2 linked regions of the Rhinolophus ferrumequinum genome follow. The protein of the gene in region 2 interacts with the protein of the main gene of each other region in a pairwise test. Links are inferred from orthologs where the notes say so. Each region holds a gene or a part of one and is shown on either strand. Other genes may lie near its edges.

Evidence for each region.
Region 1: the proteins of CLEC7A (region 2) and BNIP3 interact in binary tests that used the Homo sapiens proteins (3 or more experiments, as listed by UniProt). The two-hybrid records come from large-scale screens. The link is inferred for Rhinolophus ferrumequinum from reciprocal best matches to the Homo sapiens genes CLEC7A and BNIP3.

Annotation. Positions count from the first base shown.
Region 1 is NC_046299.1:993,009-1,004,959, reverse strand, and holds the start of BNIP3 (BCL2/adenovirus E1B 19 kDa protein-interacting protein 3), read right to left. Parts: upstream 7,417-11,951; 5' UTR 7,260-7,416; coding exon 7,214-7,259; intron 1-7,213. UniProt on the Homo sapiens protein: Apoptosis-inducing protein that can overcome BCL2 suppression. May play a role in repartitioning calcium between the two major intracellular calcium stores in association with BCL2.
Region 2 is NC_046293.1:25,858,579-25,869,932, forward strand, and holds the start of CLEC7A (C-type lectin domain family 7 member A), read right to left. Parts: upstream 4,390-11,354; 5' UTR 4,296-4,389; coding exon 4,193-4,295; intron 2,618-4,192; coding exon 2,522-2,617; intron 1,239-2,521; coding exon 1,101-1,238; intron 6-1,100; coding exon 1-5.

The sequences.
Region 1 (11,951 bases), on a different chromosome or scaffold from region 2:
CGGCATGACAGCTGCTCTGGATTTACTGACATCAGCAGCCAGATGAATACACTCTGAACACCACCAAGGCCATTTCTGACGAACCCCGATCCAGCACATCAAGCCACGCTCGGCGTGCATTCAGCCAAAGCTACAGGAAGTCGGCTCCACATTCTTTCTTACTTGAACGAAAACTTGACGTCTGTTACATGTTCTGAACAAATTTATTTCACCCAGGTACATGTTACAGATTTAGAGAACTGTCTTCTTAGCACCAGGTCACCTACTTACCACCACGTAGCGCCAAAGCATTCCCCATCCCCACCGACCGCGAAGCCCGCACGTAAAGCCATTGCTCCAAGCCGGGATCTGTCCCTGAAGACCCAGCACCTGGAGTTCACTGGACACGCCCACGCCACTCAACAGCTGGGCACACACTGCTGGCGGCTGTGCACCGGGCAGCGGCTGGGCTGAGCCCTGCAGAGGAAGCCCGCGGAGGTGGCAGCCTGAGTGACAGACAGCCCGACACAGGGCCGTGCCAGGCGGTGCGGGGTGGCCAGGGCTGTTGCTCTTGCCCCTGAGCAAGTGTCTGGGGGGATGGAAATCACTGTGGCCCATCCCACACAAGGACAGAAGTGCCCCGGACACAGAAAGGCCCCCCGCATGCCTGCGGCCCAGACACCCGCAGGCCTGAGGGCAAAAGCAGTGAGGGCTCCTGGGGTTGCACCGAGGGGCCAGCTAGCGCGCACTGGGCCGTGGGCAGGCGTGCTCTGCTGCTGCGTCCAGGAGCCCACGGTGCGGCCACGCCGCTGTCTGCCCAGCTGGACGTGCAGCTGGCTTCCAGGCGAGCGGCTGTGAACAGCACCTCCCTCTCTCTCCGTCCAGCCGTCCGTCCGTCCATCCATCCGCCCATGTGCTCTCGCCTCTGCAGCCCCACCTGGGGGGTAACAAGCAGCAGGACCACCACCAGCCCCGAAGGAGCTTCCCACACGGGACCGTCAGTCCTCAAACTCAGCCATCCATTCCGTGCTGTGTGGTCTGCGGTGCATTTCTCTGATTTCTACTGAGGCCGAACATTTTTCACGCTTACTGGCCATGTGCATAGCAAAAACCTCTTCCTCTTTCCTTCCGTCTGCAGAAGCTCCATATTCCAGACGCGAGCCTTTCTTCACGTGAGTGTTGCAGGTCTCTTTCACGATGGCTTCTCTTTTCACCCTGAATGTCTCCTGATGAGCACAAACTCCTGATTCTAATCCAGTCACATTTTCAGTCTCTTCCTAGCCTGAGGCCATGAGGATACTCTACTGTATTATTTCCAAAAAGCTGTACTGTTTTCACTCATGACGACCCAGGTTCAGTGAGCCCGGATTTCACGTGTAGGTGGAACCTGAAACAGGTCTGGCTTTTCCACTCACTGACGAGACTGCCTCTGCTTCTCCCTCGGCCATGCAGCTTGGTCAGAAACCGAGCTGGCAGCACGCACAGGCCTACGTTGGGCCCAGGACAGTTTTCTACTTTATGCGGAAGCCTGTGTCTCTCCAGGGTACCTCCTGCTCCAAGATCACCCTGGTGGCACATGAAGGACAGGTGCCGGAGGGAGCGGGGAGGCAGACTGCAGAAGCCCGGAAACCCAATGAACTGGCTTACACTCGCTCTCACTTATTACAGTCATTGTCACCCAGAGCCGCCACTCGGTCCTTAAACCAACATGGCACCAATGACGCCACACGGGGGTGGGAGGCGCCCGTTCATCAGCGCCCGTTGGCCATCACCGCCCGCTGGCTGAACCACCGGCGGCTGCTCCCTGACACATCCGGCAGCTCTGCCGGTCCTGGCCTAATGCTCAAAAAGCTGCAGAAGAAATACATCATCAGTGAGAAGCCAGCCATCACGGGCCCAGGAATAGATGAGAACCTGCAGCCTGGACAGCAGTTAGCTGCTAACAAAATGACCACACACATTGTCAGATTAACACGTGACTTTTCTCTTTAGCCTCTCAGGTCGCTTCCTGTCAAGCTGGTCCGCACAAGTGCGTCACGAACACAAGGAAGGAGGTGGTCTCGGAACCAGGTCACTGAGCCAGGCCACTAAGCCAGCCTCTGACCCAGCAGAGGCCTCGAGCTCGGCCCTCTCCGCACCAGCACTCCGGAGCCCGCTCGCCTGACTGACCACGTCCATCAGGCTGCCGACCACCTTCCGAGTCCTCTGCCCGTCCGCACCCTGAGGCGTCGGCATTAAAACTCTAGCCCCCTCTCCTTCCCTGGACTCAAGGTCACACTCAGCCAGCTGGCAAGGCAGCTCGGGCCCCTGGCATGGAACAGCATGGGCCCCACGCTGGGCCCAGTTCCGTTTTTCTAGATTCAACCTGTTATTCAGATTCTGGGCCTGGCTCAATGTGCCCGGCCAAGCTTCAGTGCTACTCAGTGTCTGACGTAGGCGGAGTCCGAGGCAGGTGCTGCTTTTCTGATTCCACTTCTGACAACACATGTGGGGTTTCGACGGCAAAAACCAATTCTCCAACACCAACGAGCTGTCCCACAATTCAGTTCAGTGGTGCCACTACCTGGAGCTGCTGTCAGGTCCCCCAAGTTGAAAGGCTTAGTGCCAACACTGTCTCCACATCAGACGTCAGCCACACATCTGCCTGGCAGACCACAATTCAAGGGTCCTTACAACACCCCACTCAGGTCCAGTCAACTCACGAGAACAACTCACAGCACTCAGGGAAACACTACGTGTTTACCCATTTATTAGAAAGGACACAACTCAGGAAGAGCCAAATGGAGACGCACAGAGCACTGGTCTGGGGCACGGGGGCAGAGCTTCCCTGCGCCCTGACCTGGGCACCACCCTGTGTTCACCAACCCAGCTCGCTCCGACCTAGCTGTTCAAAGTTTTCAAAACCCAACCTCCAGCCGTCCCCTCCCTGCAAGGGCTGGGTGCTGGGTTCCCACCCTCTAATCACAAGGGGCTCTTCCCCAACCCCATCCGAGGCTCCAGGCTCGCCAGAGCCTCCCTGAGGGTTCCCTGCAGAAGGGGTTCCATGAATAACAAAGGCACTACTGCCACTCGAGTGATCCCACGAGTGTTAGAGCGGTGCCAGCACACACTAATTGTTTTAACTGAGATACAGTGTTGACACAGGACATACTGGTTTCAGGTGTACACACGTGTTTTATTATGTCACAGGGGCCAACTCGGGACTCCATGGACACAAGTACGTACATGCTTTTTAGAATCATCTCATAGAAAGTCCTAAGCATCATTGAGAAAGAAGAAAAATCCCACTCTGGACTGTCTGCAGCAAAGCTTTGGGCACAAAAGCTGTATTCCCAGGAATGATTTACTAAAGGGCAAGCGTTTTATTATTAACCTGCAACAAGTGGGAAAACATTCTTCGTGGAAAAGAAAATGCGTGCTGTTAACCCACTCACATCCTGCAATTGGTTAAGGTCACTCATCTTTTTAAGCAAGAAAGATGGGATTAGGGCTGCTTCAGAAGCACAGATCACCTGCCCAGTAACTGGAATCCTGAGGCCTCAGAAGAAAACGGATGGTGCTGCTGAGGGCAGGCCCGCTGCCTCTCCCCCACACCCACTGTGACGTGCCCGGCTCACACACAGCAAGTCAATGCCAGCCTCGGGACAAGGTAGATGGGCGTACCCAAGTGCCACCACAGTCCCTGCCTTCTGCAAGACTCCAGGCTGGCCTGGCCACACTGCCCTCGACATACCCAGGTGCACCCCACAGAGCCCCAAAGGCCACCCACACCCTAGTGTGAGGTAGCAGGTCCCAACCGTGACTAAGGAGACTCACCTGAGGTGCTTTTACTCTGTTCCTCAGGAGCCTGGCCCACCGCTCTGAATATCCTTATGTGGAGTGCTGGGACGGACTCCAGAAATATATTCTGAAAAGTCTACAATGGCAATGTTGCGGGGGCCAGGGTTGAAGCCAACTGGCCAGGGGAAGGACGCGGGAACAAAGCAGCTGTAAGACTGGGAGCAGTGTCAGGGAGGAGGGAGGTCCCAGAAGGCAGGGCATCCTCGGAAGGCCTGAGGCCAGCGGTCGCCAAGCCCAGGGGGAGCACCAGCCAATCGCAGGGCTTCTTCCCTGTGGGGGGGAGGGGAGGGGAGGGAGGGGGAATGTAAAAGCGTCAGACAAGACACCTCATTCCCAAGTGATTTGGAACAGACCATTCTGGCTCCTGGTTCCTACCAGGAGCTGCGTGGCTCTCCTTTGCCAGGCAGGGTCCTGTTTAATGCACTCTGTCACTTAGGCTCCTGGTGTCCCCCTGGCACTCAGCGTGGAGCCCCTGACTCTGCCTTACCTGTTATCACTTACCCTCTGGCCTCACTGCAACCCTCTATGAAATGCAGGGGTTGGGCTACGATTTAATGCCTGAAACCCCTTTATACTCCCAAACTGCAAGCTCCACATTCCCCTCCACAGGAAAGATGAATTATTTTCCTCTTCATACACCTTTGTCCGTGGGGAGCTGCCACGTGGTGAGTTGCCAAGACGAGCACTGTCCCCATACACAGCAGTAACAGGGGTGGGGGCGTCTCAGAGCAAAGGGCTGAGCACTGACTGAACTGACGCCTGCACCCATGAGCAGCTCTGCTCAGAAGGGGGCCTTCTGGGAAGTAAGCCACGCACCACTCCCGTGACACTGTGACACAACAACATGCATGTCAGCAGTTGTGCATCTAAGAAGAAAAAGGCACAGAACACCTTGCAAGTCAACAGCTCTAACTAGAATGGACCAGGGAAAGGGGGGAACACACATCCATTTTGCTGTTCACTCCTTGGGGAGAACATCCTGGTGCCAGATACAAGCAAAGGGGAAACCGTTTGCTGCTGTCGGAGTTTGGCAACCAAAGCTCTCAGTTGTCATGTGAGGTAAACAAGAGGGAACCAAATCAAAACAGCACACGGAGGACACGCCTGCTCCAGCGAATCCAGAATCCATGCGGCTCACATTTCGTGGGGCAGCTGCCCAGTGACTGACTCCTCCCAGCCGGAGCTGGACGGTGAGCAAGTGGAGTGCCCTACAGCACGTACACACTAGTACACTCGGGAATCCTTACCATGAGTTTCCACTCCCTGTGTAACCATCTTTTTATAGAATAAGCAAAACACAAAGCAAATCTTTTAATTCACGAGCTGGTGATTTTGCATTGCCAGTGACTCAGCTGTTTGGTGTCAGTCAGGAAGCCCCTCTGGAGGGCTCAGAACTCTTCCAGAGGCTAAATCTGAGCCAGTGAAACACAGCGGCAGAAGTTAAGTAGTTTGGTAATTAGGAAAAGAATGATTCTAAGGCCAAGAGTTTATGAAATACCCCCTGGATCCTGCGTGAAAAAAGACAGAAAAGATTAATTCCTTAATCCAGTTCAAAGAAAACAGTCAATTTCAAAATTTAAGGAGATTACAGGATTTTAAAAATGTGGTTGTACTTGGCTATGAAAAAGAATGAAATCTTATCATTTGCAATATGGATGGACCTAAAGAACATTATGCTAAGTGAAATAAGTCAGACTGAGAAAGACAAATACCATGTGATCTCACTTATATGTGGAATCTAAACAACAGAATAAACAAACAAAACAGAAACAGACTCAGAGATATAAAGAAAAAAGTGGTGGTTGCTAGATGGGAGGGGGGTGGGGATGAGGGAGCAGGTGAGGGGATTAGAAAGAACAAACCGGTAGTCACAAAACAGTCACGGGGACACGAAGTACAGTTTGGGGAATATAACCGGCAGAGCTGTAAAGATGATGGAAGGTACCCGATGGGCACTGGACTTATCAGGGGGATCACTTCATGGACTGTGTGGATGCCTGACCGCTGCGCTATATACATCTGCAGCCGAAGTAAAATAATATAAAATGTCAACAATGATTAAATATATGTAAGTGTGCACACGTACATAAACTACAGCATGGGGAAGGCAGTCAATGGGATTGTAACAGTCACACACCATGTCAGAGAGGTAGTGGACTGGGGGTAGTAGACGGGGGGGTTACCACTTTATGAAGGATGTAAATGTCTAATTAGTACATTGTTTTGTACACCTGAAACTAATAAAAAAAAAGTGGTTGTACTTTTAAAATACACGACACACAACGCATTAGGCTAATTCAGCCTCGCCTAATAAAAATACAATGCTGCTTTAAGGACTAAGAAAAAACCTAGCAGCTCACTGAACTTATCTGAACAACGTTAGGGTTTAAGCTCACGCTCAGGTCTGAACAGTCCTCTCCGACGCTTACTCACGCTCCTCCTGCCGAGTCAACTCTTGCCCCCGAGAACGCAAAGGTGACGCGCGGGCTCCTCCTCCCCCGCTCCCGGGCCCCCCCGAGCGGCCGCGCGGCCGACGCGAGGCCAGAGGGCGGACCGCACGGCTGCCACCGACCCACGAAGCAGCACAGCAACCCTCCGCGCCCGCGGGTCTGGAATCGCCAAGGCCCCGCGCACGAGCGGCAGCGCCGGGTGCCCCAGGTCCTCCAGCTTCCACTCTCCCGCCCGCACATCCCTGTTGTCTGGGGACGACCCTCTAGCCCAGGCGAACGTAAAGAGCGGCCTGCCCGCAGCCCACGGCAGTTGCTCCGAGCACCGTCCATCTGTTCCGCGGAGAAGCGCGGCCGGGGGCCGCGGGCCCGTCTGCATCACGGGCAACCCCCTGCCCTCCTTCCTCCGACCGGTCCCGGCGGCCAGGACGCTCCACGCTCTACTACTAACGCCCGTGCAAGCCCACGTCACACCCGGCTTCTGCTCCTGAAACCCACTGGTCTCACCACAGAACGTGGAAACGTGGCCCTGAAGAAGCCATTCGGACCCGAGACGCGACTCGCAGACGGCGCTTCCAGTTGCCCCGAGCCGGACAGTTCAGGCTCCTCGCCGGCCTCGGCCGGCGTCCGCGCCAACCCCCCAGCTCGGCCCCTCCCCAGGATCCACTGTCCGCGGGCGCGGCAGCCGTGCGCCCCGGACACGGCCCCGCACGGCCCCCACGTCCCGGGGGCCCCGCCGGCCGCCTGGCCCCACGGGCAGCCAGCCGCCACCTGCCCGCCGTGCGCAGGGACGACCCGCGAGGTGGGCGCAGCCTCGCGCCGGCGACCGTCCCGGCGGCCTGGCCTCGCCGTGAAGGGGCCCCGACAGGTCCCGCCCGCCTCACTCGCGTCCCCGCGTCCCCACGGCCTCCCCTCAGCACTCCCCGCCCCGATCCCGCGAGGCTCACCCTGCAGGCTCTCCTCCTGTAGTCCGGGTGTCCCGCTCTGCGACATGGCGCCGGAAGGAGGGCGCAGCGGCCGCCGGGCCGGGATCGGGTGGGCGCCGGGCGCTGCAAAGAAGACCGGCGGCAGCTGGAGCACGAGCGCGGGCCCAACAATTACAGCGGCGTCAGCCCAGGACCCCGACTGACTGACGCGCGCCGGCAGACGCACCGCAGATAAACAGCGGAAAAGCGGCGGCGTCGCCGATTGGCCGCGAGGAGGGGCCTGCGCGTACGCAGGGCGTGGGGCGCGCGGGGCGCGTGCGGCGCGTGCGGCGCGTGCGCGGGGTGGAGCAGAGGCGTCGCCTGGCGATCCGAGCGCTCGTGCGCGGGGTCTGAGGGGCGGGGCGTGCGTACGCAGGCGGGGCGGGGGCCCGGGGTGGGCGGGGCGGGGTCCGGGTGGGCGGGGCTAAACTGCTGGAGAGGCGGGGCACCGTGGGAGGGGCTCAGTACCTGTTGGTCCCGCCAGGCCTGGGCGCCTTGCGGACGGAGCTCGCGGCGGACGCGCGTCCCACCGGTGGACGCGGGCGAGGTGCAGGTGAGCACGGGCGTGCGGCTGCGCGGGCCGGGTTGGACGCTGAGGCCCCCGGGCTGTCTTTAACGCTGCTGAGTTTGCTGTTCTCCCTCCAACACAGTAAAGGCAGTAAACTCGACACCGGGCAATGCGAAAACCGGACAGCCGAGGACCGCAGGGCTCGCTAGTGGACTGCGTGGAAACACACCGGGGCTAAGCCATCTGTGAAGACAGAACTGAGACACACCCGCGGCCACCAGCCAGGCAGCAGCCCCTCACCTGCAGTGACCAACCAGGAGCCCAGCCTCCTCTCTTGGCAGGAAGTGAGACCAGTGTCTCTAGCAACTGGAAGCCACACAGCAGCCCTGTAACAGTCAGCCCCAAACGGCCGGACTTGATCCATAACTGACAGCTTCCCCAATTTCTGTCCCCGCTGCCAGCTCAGGACCCACCACAGAAAGCCAGACGCCGCCCTGACCAATCTCGGTGTCCCCTGCTCCAGGCTTTCCGGTCCCAGCCTCCATGGGGACACACCTGGAGCCTCCCTTTCCACTGTGAAGTCTCCCACTCCCCTGCCTGCCTTTGGGTCTCTGCCAAACCCAGTGACGGGGACGGGTGCCAAGCACGCTCTGGGGCAGCAGCCCCTGCTGTCCTCACCTGGGGGGGGGTGTCTTTGTTTCCATTCTAGGTAAGGATGCCCTTGAGAGGGGCACTAAGCTTAGCCTTCTTTCTGGATGTAGAGGTTCTGGCCTTTCTTTCCATTCAAACGTTAGTTCTCCTTTATTCAGCAAGTCTTTTCCAAGCGCCCCTGTCACTGCAGTGTTCAGGATGGGTGCAGCAGCGGACGCACGGGACACAGCTGCCCCACACGGACACAAATGGCACGTCCCCTCATAGAATGTGCCCACGCCTGCCTCTTCTCTCTGGGCCCTTTACTGGGACGACTGCCTGGGGAAGCATCACTGGGGAAGCTGTCCCGTCTCCCAACCCCTGAGCGCAGGCTGCTTGTCCGCTGTTCAGGTGTTCTCACTTCTCGGCAGGTTCTGTGCTCTTCAGTGTACAGCGTCTGCGCACTTGACAGACATTCCCTAAATAGGCCTATTTCTAATGTTACCATATTGTGAAATTTCGTTTGATTTTTTTATTGCTAATATGTACAATGATCACGGACTTTTGTATGTCTCCTCACCCCTCAACCTGCTAAGCTCACCGGAACGTGTACATTTCATAAGCCCTCTAAGTCTCTCTAGGCCGATGACCCAGAAATGTTTAAATGGAAATGTTTCTTTTTGCAACCTGATTTTCCCTCCCCATCTAGAACACTCTACCAGTCTGTGGGGGGGGGGGGGAAGAAGCTCCACGGAAAGTAACCTCAGAGTGATCTGATCACAAATTCCTAACGGGCAGGGCAGGTCGCGGTGAGTAGTCCCACCCCAGGTCTGTAACTTCTTTAGCAAAAGGTTTCTCTTTGCTGTAAGCAGCCCTGTCCATTGTTTCTGTGCATCCAGGTTAACAGCCTTTGAAAGAAGCAGAACCACCCTCAAGAGAGCACTGTAATCTTAACTGTCCTGTAATCCAATCCCCGCCTTGCTCCTTCCCACCTCCTTGAAATCTTCCTTAGTTCCTTCCTAATCTCATATGCATAAAAGAAACTGCAAACTTATTCTCCAAACATTTATCTCAGTCTGCTGAGATCTTGCTTCCAGGTGTATCCTCTGTTTGGCCCAAATACATTTTTATAAGAAGTAATCTACAGGTTTGGACATTCTTACGTTAACAGGTCCCAGCAACTTCCATCATTTCATGTCCCCACCCAGGGAGCCCTGAGGCCTAACTTCCAACAGCGTCACTGTAAAGCTGCTTAGTGCCCCGGGGAAGGTTATAGCAGACAGGGTGGGTCAGGCTGCCCAGGGGAAGCCTGAGGAGCCCCCAGTCAGAGTTGGGGATCAAGGAAAATGCAAGTGGGAAATGGGAAAGAAAACGCGTGGCTTGAAGATCTGCTCCAGTTGGCCTACCCTGAAAAACGGCGATGGCCAACAGTGGCCCAAGGAGACAGGAGTCTCAAAACTGAGATCCTGGGACATGAGGACAGTAGGGAAAAACTGAGGAAATCTGATTAGCATAAGTCTTACTCACGTAAGATGTTAATAACGGCAAATTAGGTGTAGGGTGTGTGGGAACTCACTCTACTATTGGATTCATCATTTTTCTGTCGTTCTAAATTAGTCATAAAAATAAAATTTATTAAAAACAATATATTAAATGCCACTCGTATGAAAATGTATAGTATTAAATGCATTTTAGGACAAGGTATAAAAGAAATGAACTAGGTAGTTTAAAAAGCTAGGAAAAAACCCTAAATAAAAGAAATTAATACATTTGTAACATTATTATAAAATTAATAAAAATTAAAGCAAAATTAATGAGTTAGAAAACATATTTGCCTTCATTAATTTCAAATCTTTGGTGATAAATGACATTTTGAGCACTACATGAGGATCTGATTATAAATTCAGAGGAAATTTTAAAATATGATATAAAATCATATACACTTTTATAGTTAAAAAAAGAAACCTGAATAAAATTATTTTTCAGGAAAATATAAAGTTGATTCAGGAAAGGAGAGCCTCTGAAGCAGTGGAAGTGATTGGCACGTGGCTGACGGTCTGATTTCCCCAGAGACAGAGCTCAGGCAGTTTTACAAGTTTCTGCCCAACCTTTAGATCGGGGAGCATTTCCGTGTGCTTTCAGGCTGTAGTCAATAGTGAGATTTTACCAGTTCATTCTATGGGGTCGGTACAACCCTGATTCTAACTTCGCATCATGCTTTCATAGTAGGAAACAAAATATTGAGCTATAGTCACCTAGGAATATGCATGGAAAAGTACTGACTGAACTGACAGCAAACAGAAGACGAATCCATTACAACCATGTAAGTTCTCTCCTGGGACGGTAGGGATGGTTTGACCACATATTTAACAAAAGATTAAAGAAGAAAAAGTAGCTTGAGGATCTTAAAAAATACCTGACAGATCAAAGACTAAAAATAATCATTTTAGAAGCAAAAATAATTTCATGTGCATTTCTGACATGAACACACGCTAGAAACAAACTTAGTAAGTTGGGCGGGGGAGAGGGCAGTGGGGGGACGTGGGCTCCTTCCTCCTTGCCCTCACCTGAAGCCCTGCACGCTGCGTGACGTCCTGCCTTTTGGTCTAGAGAAACGGAAATACCAGAGCAGCCTCCAGCACCCAGCACCCAGCACCCAGCAGGAGGTGCCGGGCCCCAGCGCCCAGAGTGCCAGCCATCCATCCTTGGGACCAGGCGTACCACTGTGTAGCTGCCCTCATTCCTGCCCATGTTTCAAGGCTAGGACTTGGGCCTTCAAAACAGCAACTCTGTGAGCCCTCCAGAACCCATCAGGAAATCCCTTCTCCTCTCCCGGCACTCCAAGCTGGCTTCTATTACACTCACAACAGAGACACCGCCCTGGTAAAAGTAGCGCACCTGAAGCCCACGATGGGTGACACCGTGGCATCCCCGTGAAGTCAGCAGCAGGCCAGGGGCTTGTCAGCAGCCCGAGCTCTGAGGTCTGAGGCCGTGCCAGAAGACAGGAAGGAGGAAGGAAAATTTCACAACACCAAAAAGGAGGAGGCGAGACTGCTACTACTGACCCACCTCATCCCCCCAGGTAGGTTCCCTGAGGGCAGGCCCGGCAGGCAGCAGGGGTTCAGTTAGTATCTGTTAATTAAAGCAGTGGATTAACACAGAATAATAAAATTGTTTCTCTGAAGATTCAGGACAATCAATGGAGAAAGTCTTTGAACAAATAAAAATTTAATAATGTGTGTCATAAGGTAAGCATACACAAATCAATAGCTTTTTTAAAGGCTAGCAGTGACCAATTTGAAAATGGAAAACATCTCATAAGAGTGACAACAAAACATATCTAAGAATATCTAAGAACTTAAGAAATGTTCAAGATACAGACAAAGAAAATTTTTAAGTTTTGCAGGAAGATATGAAAAGACATTATTAATTTAATGATAGTGTGGACGAAAAAGGGACCATATATACTAAGCCAGACGAGCTCAGAGGAACCCTGCATGGTGAACCCTACAAATCAGACACTGAAAAGAACCACACAGTATGGTCTGAATGTAAAAATTCCTAACTAAAAGTGAGTCGTGG
Region 2 (11,354 bases):
AACTCCTGGAAATAAAAGATAAATATGATGAGATTCATATTATACCACTTCACTCTGTCAGTGCAAGCACCATACATCCATAGGATACAATAAATAATCAACAAATTGCCATTAATATATTTCATTTTCAATTAAAACTATAGAGATATGATTTTACAAAAGAAACCACATTAAAATATCCCCATTCATTTAAAATTGAGTAACTATAAAAGTGTTATACACAGTCGACCTTCCTTTCCTTCTTGACTTGTCTTCCATTCCCTTGAATTCAGCCCAGAACTCCCTTTCTTGATAAGTCTTAAAATAAATCAACTCAAAATCAATCATTAAGGTATACAGTAATTTCATGTTAATTTATTTTACAGGTGTAAGATCCATTTTAGAATGCAATTTTCCAAATGAAAAAAGTATAAGAGTAATTATTTACATTATAGAGTATCTCTGATTTGTATTAATTATTTGATACATATAATGAAGATGTATGGGTCCAGAGATGGAAAACTGAAGTCAAAATATCATCATAGTCAATCATGATGCCATTAGAAATAAAGGTAAGTGTATATAAAATTGTAATGAAATAAATAAAATTATATGATTAAAGAAAACAAATTTAACCAGAGTTTTTAGGAAGACATCTATTAGGTCTATTTCTTTTGCATGTGTTTAATTTAACCTCTTAATCCTTATCAACATTTGTCCTTTCCTTTTTCTCTCCCTCTCTTCCTTTCTGATATGCTATTTCTTATTCTTACTGTATCACCTTAAAATATCAGTAACTTAAGGGCAGAGAATACATTTCAAGTTATACAATCTCCTGTATGCCTAAACACACAGCCAAGAATAGTTACTGATTTGAAAAAAAAAAAAAATACAACTTAGAACTGTCCGGCCAAGTACATGAGGGTATCTATGATATCACTTTATTGTATATATGACAGGGGCATATTAGAGTGAGATAATACTGATGTGTGCTTTCCTTGAATGCACAATCATGTAAAAGTGCTCTCTTCACCCACCCCCCACCCCCGCTCTAGGCTGGAACACCAATAATTAACTCTTCTGAATCCAGAATTCCATTAATCATTTAACTCTGCCCTTGCCTGTGGTTTTGAGAGCCTTGGTAGGAGCCACACTCTGTTCTAAAGATGATTGTGTGGATTGACTGTGGTTCTCTTTATTCCTTGACGGAAAATTGTCATTCTTCAATGAGTTGCTTCCTGAATTGGATCTCCACATACCTTCACATGCCACCAACAACAATAATGACAACAACAACAAAAAATCATTTTACTATGTTTGAAAATTAAAATCCCCAAACCCATATTTTTGTTGTAATATAAAGAGATGCATTCTTGATTAATGATTAATAGGTAATACACTGCTGATGGAGGGGTAAAGACAGAGAGATGATAGATAGATGGACAGTGTGGGGACAAAGCCAGGGGTGCAGTTTCCAGGCTCTCGGCCTCATGTGGAAAGGTGCTGGCTCAGGTAGCACCTGAGCGGGAGCTGAGACCCCACGTGATACCCCGCATGACAGATATATATATATATATATATATAGATGGTAGGTAGATAGATAGATAGATAGATAGATAGATAGATAGATAGATAGATAGATAGACAGATGATAGATAGATTAAATAGATAGAAAAAAATAACTTCCACATGGACGGTATAGTAAAAAAGAGAAAAATGAAGCAGGTTGAGAAGGAGAATAAGTATTAAGGAGAAAGCAAGTGACAGATAGAATAGAGTTAATTGGAGCCATGATAGATTTGAAATTATAGTAAATTTTCTACCTTTCTCTGTGTTTTAAAAATGAGAGCTCCTTGAAAACCTGTCCAGTACTTATAACATAGACTGTACCCAATAAACATTTGAATAATTAAGGAATCTAATAAAGACTCCCTGAGAGCACAATAATACTTTATTGACAATAGAATGCTTGAGATATAAAATCTAAGGAAAGTCATTCATTAATCACAAAATATGTACTTAGTATTTAGTAAGTGCCTCAGGTAAGTAACTGGTATAATCCAAAGGAGTTTAGATTAAAGATGAGGTTTAAAATAGTTTCCTTAAATCATGAGATTCATAAAAATAGCTTATAGTCTCTTTAGGGCATTTGTTTTATTAGGAAGCTAGCACCAAAATATACTTCCATCTTAACCTTTACTAGTTTTCTTCCATTAATTTATCCTGGGAATTCTACAGCTTTGAAATCAGCCATTCAAGGATGGTAATAGAGCAATGTACTTAAAAGTCTGAATTTTTCAGACAGATGTCCTAAATTTCTAATTGTGGTCTTACCACTAACTAGTTTATGATCCTGGAAAAGTAAAATAAATTCCCAGGCTCTCACTTCCCTTATTAATAAACTGGAAATTAATAACACCAATTCAATAGGGTTAATATACAGATTAAATTAGATTATGCATGCCAAGCTTTTAAAAAATTGTCTACTATATTATAAATGCTTATTAAATGTTTCTTGTTAATCTTCCCCAGCAATACTCACCCGTGGCACCCAGGACCACAGCTATCACCAGTATTATCAAGCATAGGATTCCCAAAATCACAGCAATGGAACGCCAGTGAGATATCCCACAATATCCTGAAGACCAGACAGAGCAGAAATTGAATGAAGAAATAAGACAATGGATTGTGGAGTACTTAAATTCTATAATTCATTAAAATCTGGCAAATTCTGAAGTGAACCATTAATCACTGATAACCAGATACTCCAGTTATCCAGAATTAGTCTGAATTTTCCCCCAACTTCAGCATTCGTCTTCAGGTTCTGGAAATGTAATTTGAGTGAGTTGATAACTATGCACTCCTGATTTCAGTGAGTTGATAACTATGCACTCCTGATTTCAGTTCCACATTGATGGCTCTACAACTCACACCACCAGGATTCATGAAATCCCACTCATTCTTGGAAGATACAGCAGAAATACAGGGGAAATAACACTGATGACTAAGGGTAATCTTCCCTTTTTACTTATTTGTTGCATGATCTTGGGCAAATTACTTCTTCTGTTTTTCCATTTCTCTTTGTACAATATTGGGGTAATAATACTTCAAAGGATTATTGTGGGAATTAAATGAGATAACACATGTAAAAGCACCCAGTTCAGAGATGACTAGCACATTACAGGTTTGTCCACACCTATGCATAAACACATGCACGCCTCCCTACCTTTTGCATTATCCAATTTTTCCACTCTCCCCCAAAAGGTTACCCAAGAAAAGTATTGCGTAAGTGGTGAGAGAAAAATAATTGTGCAATGTGAACTACCAGAAAGCAGAAGAGAGCAAACTGATGTCAAAACCTATGAATAATCTCTCTTGATAACAGGGGTCTAATTTATGTTAACATCACCACCAAGAACATAGTTTTGCCTTTGACTGAGAATAAGCAGTAACAACATTTCAGAGTTGTCAAATAGGAGAATCATAAAGGAGACTAAATGGCTCATTTTATGAGGAGAGAAATCTTTTAACACTATTCTCCATATATCATTTTTACGTTTTGTTTAAGACTCATGTCCTGCTAATAAATTCTTTTCATCTATAACATATATTTTTATTCACTGGTATATGAAGAATTGCTTTTTGTTTAAAAAAATCCAAATCAAGCTCTTACCACAGTACACATATCAAATTTGGGATTATAAATCCTATGACTTCTGACTTCCCTTTGGCCTTTACCACAAAATCACAAGTTTGTTTTTTTCCCTCACCTATCTTTCTTCTTTTCATTCTTCTCTTTCTCATCTCCAGTATCCTGATATTGTTAATATACTTCTTTAAGTTTCCTGAACTTCCATTCTACAATTTAGACCTTTCTATCAAACAAGCAATAAGCCACTCCTATTGAAATTCTTTCATCTTTGCAATTCGTCATACGTATTACCAACTCCTCACTACAGAAGTTTCTATTTCTATGGAACAGACACATTGTATTTTCTGTCATCATCATAATTAATTTAAACACTATTAATTAGCCACTGAATGGTTGCCATGAAAAATGTCTTAGTGCACATTCAAATTATCTTCAGTGACTTCTGAAAAACTTTTAAAATGTAGTAATAAAATCCCCACAAATCACAAGCCTCTCAAGTTTTCTCCACTTAAGTTTTTAGTTGATGAGAATGAAAATGTTGAAGGCATAAAGAAAAAATACCTTTCTCTGAGAACACAGGTCTCCTGGGGACATTTCGAGAGCTGAAGTCTAATTTAGTATATCCATCTTCATCCAAATTTTCTAAGTCAGGGTGATATTCCATTGTTCTATTGCGTTCCTGAATTGACAGAGCATTTGAGAGCTCTTTCCTCTCTTCCAAGACAACTCCTTGTGAACAAAAGAGGATCTATGAGTCAAATCACGTGGGATAGGCCTTTACTGAGCTTTAACAACTTGAGCTTAAGTAGTCCTACCAGTTATCCAAAAGCAGGAAATGGAGACGATGCTGTGTTAAGTTCCCATTTGTACCTTTAGATCCTGTTTCTGAGACTGATGACTCTTAAGGAAATTATAAGGTCTCATAACAGGTTGGGCTTTGTTTCAGACCAAATAAAAGAAATATGAAAAGATTGACATCTTATGCTGTTTTCATTATTTTTACAACTGAATTTGACATCATTAATTGACTTGGCCTATACAAATGTAAAAAAAATTTTGGTACCTTAAGTTTACCATTACTTCACTATAACTACACATTCCTTCATTTATTCATGTATTCAGTCATTCACTAAACATTTGTCAAATGCCCGTCTTTTCAATTGGCAGGAGCTGGGGATACAAGAAAAAATGATACCTGTGAAGGAGCTCATTGTTTCATAGAGTAAATCCACAGATGGATATATGAAGGATGCCATAAAGAGGGACATTGCTGTAACGACACAGAGAGGAAACAAAGCTTTTCTGGGATTTGTTAGAGATTAATAATAAAAAGTAGTAATTATTTATTAAACAATTACCATGAGGTAGGTACTACCCTGTGCACATGTTTTTTTCATTCAATCTTAATTTTCCAACAAGTCCTTGTGGTAGGTATTATTTGTCCTTCTTTTAAATGACGAAGATAAGACACAGAAATTTTAGTCCCTTGCTCACTTTTAAGAAGCTAATAAAAACATTGAAGGAAGGAATCAAACCAAAATCTACTGTTTCTGCACAATTCATGATCTTTTTTTTTTTCAGAAACTGCCTCTTTCACCATTCTGTCCGCCTATATTGCTAGTAACTGCTTATGAAGAATTCTGGGACTGAAATATTATGTTAAATGTTTGATTTTTCTCTCTCTCTCATCCAATTGCTATTGTAATGCCCCAATTAAGGAGATATGGAAAACAGTTATCCTTGCTGGAAACTAGTGATGTATCCGACCCATTTACAAGACTAAAGTGAACAGAATGAAGGAGATATCTGACATTGAAGCAATGAGGACAGATGTCCCTCAGTAGTGCTATTACAACAGAGAAGAGGACCAAGCATGAACTAAACTCAACTTCTCCAAAAAAAAAGGACTGAAGACTTTTTAAAGGCTTGGGTGAGCTCAGGAAAAGGCACTGAATCTCCTTAAGGGGGGTGGTGAGAATTAATTCATGTGACGTCATCTGGATTTGTTAACTGATGCATATCCAGAAGAGAAAAAAACTATCCTCATGACAGGAGGCAGTGGTGTTGAAACTGGGTGGTGCTCCCACTGACGTTACACCCTCTTATCCTCCCACAGGAACTGGGAGAGCAAGAGGTATGTCCCTAACTCCCTGATTGTTTGCATTCAAAGAGATGGCTCTCAGGTCCTTGAAGAAATTTTCATAACCTTCTTATATCAGTGTCTCACAGCTGTGTTTGTGCCGACATGTGGCGGTGTCTTGCTGAGTCGCCTTCATTATTGTTGTTGCATGTTTTTGTGTGCCATCATGAGAATGTCTGCGCTTGAATTAGAGCAACGGACAAACATTAAATTTCTTGTTAAACTTGGCAAGAAAGGAAGTGAAATCAGGGACATATTAGTCTGAGTTTATGGGGATAGTGCCATGAAGAAAAGCAGTGTGCAAATGGATTAAATGTTTTTCTGAGGGGAGAGAACGTGTCACTGATGAAGAGAGGCCAGGGTGGACAGTAATGAGCAGAATTGATGAAAACATTGCAAATATTCATTGAATTGTGCATCAAAATCATCGGCAGACTGTGAAAAGCACAGCAGACCAAGTAAACATTGATAGAGAAACAGCTAGAAAAATCTTAACTGAAAATCTTGGCATGAGATATGCGTGTGCAAAATGATCCTGAAGGATGCTCACCAATGAACAAAAACAAAGGAGAGTCGAAGTTTGCCAAGACCTTTAGGAAAGGCAAGACAATGTGTTGGGCTGTGTTATAACTGGTGATGAAATATTAGTGTATCAATATGACCCTGAAGCAAAGTGTCAAAATGCGCAGTGGAAGTCAGCCAATTCTCCACAACCACAAAAATTCCGTCAGTCCAAATCAAGAGTCAAAACGATGTTGCTAACCTTTTTGATATCAGAAGGATTATTCATTATTAATCTGTACCAACTGGACAAACAGTTAACCAAGTTTACTATTTGGAAGTGCTGAAAAAGCTGCGTGAAAAAGATGAAAATGACAACAATTCATGGCTCTTGCATCACAGCTATGCACCAGCTCACACGGCACTGTCTGTGAGGGAGTTTTTAGCCAGTAAACAAATAACTGTATTGGAGCGCTCTCCCTACTCACCTGATCTGGCCCCCAATGACTTCTTTCTTTACCTGAAGGTAAAAGAAATATTGAAAGGAAGACATTTTGATGACATTCAGGACATCAAGGATAATACGATGACAGCTCTGATGGCCATTCCATAAAAAGAGTTCCAAAATTGCTTTGAAGCGTGGATTAGGCGCTGGTATTGGTGCATAGTTTCCCAAGGGGAATATTTTGCAGGTGACCGTAGTGATATTCAGCAATGAGGTATGTAGAACTTTTTCTAGGGTGAGTTTGCGAACATAATTGTCAGAACTTGTATATCTCAACTGTTTATGATTAGTCTCCCATCCACATGTTTGTAAGCTCCATGAGTTAAGAATATCGCTTGTCTTGGTCACTGATATATCCCATGTACCTAAACTAACTTCTGATTCATTGTAGGTTATCAATAAATATATGTTGGGTTGATATATAAATGAATGTGTAAAAATAAATGAAAGTACTTAAAAAGTAATACCATATGTACAATACATGTATAACTACCTTCATATATTATAACATAAAATAACCCAGTTCTATTGTCTGATTTGGTTTTTGAACTCCAAAAGGACAAGCATTCTATTTCCGTTGGTATTCTGTATCCAATGTGTTGGGCAGTGTCTCAATAGTCCTATCTACTGGGGGAAATAGACAAGAAAACAAACAATTATGCTTCTTGTGAACTAAGAAATAAACTCTAGGTAATTCCAAGTTCTAGTCCCAAATCACAACCAACTTATCTTTAAATTGCCTTAGAAGAACAGGGGAAAATGAAGAATGGTGGTTATTATTTTTAAGTGGGAGCTGTTTTTTTGTTTGTATATTTGTTTTAAGTTATATGTGCCATTGTCTCTCTTTCTTCCACCACAGTGACTCTTCTTTCTCTTTTGCATTTGCTTTTTATTACATGGGCCATCCATATTTTGGTTGAATATGTTGACTATGTTTTATTTATTTATTTTTTTGTGCATTAAACTTAAACTCAGCATTTTCTTTTATAGGAAGAAAAATTATAGCCAAAGGTGAAGCACGACAGACCAAACAAGAAAGTCTTTAGATTGCCCCAGTATTGATACAACCAGAGAATCTCTGATTTTGCTTGTTTTATATGCGGGAATTTCATACATAATTTCATTTAAAAAAAAAAATTGAACCCATCAAATATTTGGAAGATATTCACCTGGTATATTTCATTCATTCATTCATTCCTTTTAATTTTTTTTTAAGATGGGAAACAACTCAAGATAAGGAAATTGGATTGCATGGGGGGTAATATCTTCAAGTTATTGTCAGAACTTCTAAATTCAAAGTCCATGTTATATCTAATAAATGTATCATGTTGTCCTGTTGCTCCTTATTCTATCACTGATTGACTGAGTGACTTTAGCTGTGTTGTTTAATTTTTCTCTTCTTGTTTCCTCACCAGTGAAATGATGACGGGTCTTAAATCTCTGTTGGGATCCTTGGATGGTGAATAGGAGGGGTACAGGAAACGAAAATATTAGATTCCTGGTGGTGTGTGATCTGAACTAAGTCAGTATGAATTAATCAAAAAGATTTATGTCCTCTGCCCATTTTTTGATTGGATTGTTTATTTTTTTTGTTATTGAGTTGTATGTGTTTCTTATATATTTTGGATATAATCCCCTTATTGGATATATCATTTGTGAATATAGTCCCACATCCAATGGGCTGCCGTTTGGTTTTGTTGAGGTGTCTTTCACTGCACAGAAGCTTTTTAATTTGACTTGGTCTCATTTGTTTGCTTTTGCATTTGTTTACCTTGCTCAAGGGGACATATCCAAAAAAGTATTACTCAGAATGATGCTTATTTCCTGTGTGTGTGTTTTTTTTTAGAAGTTTTATGGCTTCAGGCCTTACATTTAAGTCTTTAGACCCATTTTGAGTTTATTTTTGTATATGGTATAAGACAGTGGTCCACTTTCATTTTTTTGCATGTTCTTGTATCTATCCAGTTTCCCAACACGACTTGTTGAAGAGATTGTTGTTACTCCAGTGTATATTTTTACCTCTTCTGTCATAGATTAGTGACCATATAAGCAAGGGTTTATTTCTGGGCTCTCTTTCTATTCCATTGATCTATGTGTCCGTTTTTGTGCCAGTCCAGTACTGTTTTTATTATTATAGTGTTGTAGTATAGTCTGAGATCAGGGACCATGCTACCTCCTCCAAAGAAGACATACAGATAGCCAACAGACATGAAAAGGTGCTCAACATCACTAATCATCAGAAAAATGCAAATGAAAACCACAACAAGATACCACCTCACACTAGTCAGAATGGCTATTATCAAAAAGTCAAAAAGCAAATGTGTTGGCAAGGCTGTGGAGAAAAGGGAACCCTTGTGCACTGTTGGTGGGCCTGCGAACTGGTACAGCCTCTATGAAAAACAGTATGGAGGTTCCTCAAAAAAGCTAAAAATAGTTATACCATCTGACCCAGCAGTTCCACTTCTGGGTATTTATCCAAAGAACACAAAAACACTAATTTGCAAAGGTCTGTACACACCTATATTCATTGCGGCATTATTTACAATAGCCAAGATATGGAAGCAACCTAGGTGTCCATGGATAGATGAATGGATAAAGGAGATGTGGTATATATACACAAGAGAATATTACACATCAATAAAAAAGAAGGAAATCTTGCCATTTGCAAAAACATGTATATATCTAGAGGGTATTATGCTGAGTGAAAGAAGTCAGGCAGAAAAAGACAAACACTGTATGGTTTCACTTATATGTGGAATATAAAAACAAATCTAAAGAAACAAACAAAACAAAAACAGAACTCATAGAAACAGAGACCAAAGGAAGAAAGTAGGAGGACGGGTGTAAAGGGGAAGAGGAATATAGTCAATAATATTGGGATAAGTCTCACACAGTAACAGATGATTATGAGAATTAGTGGGGTGATCACTTTGTAAGGTATAAAAGTGTCAAATCACTATATTGTACACCTGAAGTTAACATAACCAATATAAGATTGTATATCAACTCTACTTTAAACAAAATAATAATAATTAATTAATTAAAAACGAAAGAAAGAAAAAAAGATTTAGCAAAATCAGGCGAGAGTGAATGAGGTGATAGTGCCATCTGCTGCTTTGTATTAGAAATTTCAAGGCAAGTTAGAAGAAGTTAACCTATACTCACAAGAGAGTAAAAAAATTAAAGAGTTTCTGCAGCCTGGACCTGAATTACAATAACAATGTGATTTTTGCTCTACTTAAAGGCATCTCTATTTCTTCATTCCTAAGGAATTGTGGTTGTTAGGAGTTACCTTCTATTATGAGCAGCCATTGGATTCCTTCAATAATTAGCACATATGTTTATTTAATTTTTAATTTCTGCCACCTTAGCATAAATTCCAGAGGGCAGGGAACTTTGTTTTGTTCACTACTAATTCCCAGCATCAAGAGTAGTGCTTGCCCATTTTAAATGAATGAATAAAATAGCATATATGTAGCTGTTTTTAATTTGTTTATTTTCTTTCTCCACACTAGAGTATAAGAACCACGAGAATAGGCCTTATGTATATTCATTATTGTCCACCCTGTTAGCACTAAAGAGAAAAACCATACAAGAGAGAGTTGTTAAATGAATGAATGAACAAGAATAAAAAAAGGTGAAAATTTTTCTAATGCACGTCTCTTCGTCAAAGTAAATTAGAATAATTTGGAGATATCAAAATATCCTGATACTATTATTTTGGTATTTAAATTACTAATGTATATACAATAATGCATCACTTAACAACAGGGATACGTTCTGAGAAATGCTTCATTAGGCAATTTCTTCATTATGTGAACATTATAAAGTGCGCTGACACAACCCTAGCTGGTACAGCCTACTACACACCTAGGCTACCTGTTGCTCCTGGGCTACAAACCTGTACAGCATGTTACTGTACTGAATACTGTAGGCAAGTGTAACACAATGGTTAGACTTTGTGTATCTGAATATATCTGAAAATAGAAAAGGTACAGTAGAAATATGGTATAAAAGATTTTAAAGAAATGGTATATCTGCATGTATATGGCACTTGCCCTGAATGGAGGTTGCAGGATTGGAGGTTGCTCTGGGTGGGTGAGTGAGTGAGCAGTGAGTGAACGTGAAGGCCGAGGCCATTACTGTACACTACTTTATATAAACACTGTACACTGAGGCTACACTGCATTTATTAAAAATATTTTTCTTTCTTCAATAATAAATTAACTTTACTTACTATAAAATGTTATTTTAGAAAGTTTTTAATTGTTTTAACTTTTTGACTTTTGTGATGATGACACTTAGCTTAAAACACAAACACATTGTGCACTATATAAAAATATTTTCTCTCGTTATATCCTTATTATATGAGCTTTTTTCTATTTTTAATTTTTAAAAATTTTTCACCTTTTAAACTTTTTTGTTAAAACCTAAGACACAAACACACACATTAACCTCGCCCTACACAGGTTCAGGATCATCAATATCACTGTCTTCCATCTCTACATCTTGTCTGTCCCAGTAGGTCTTCAGGAGCAGTAACACACATGGAGCTGTCATCTCCTATAACAATACCT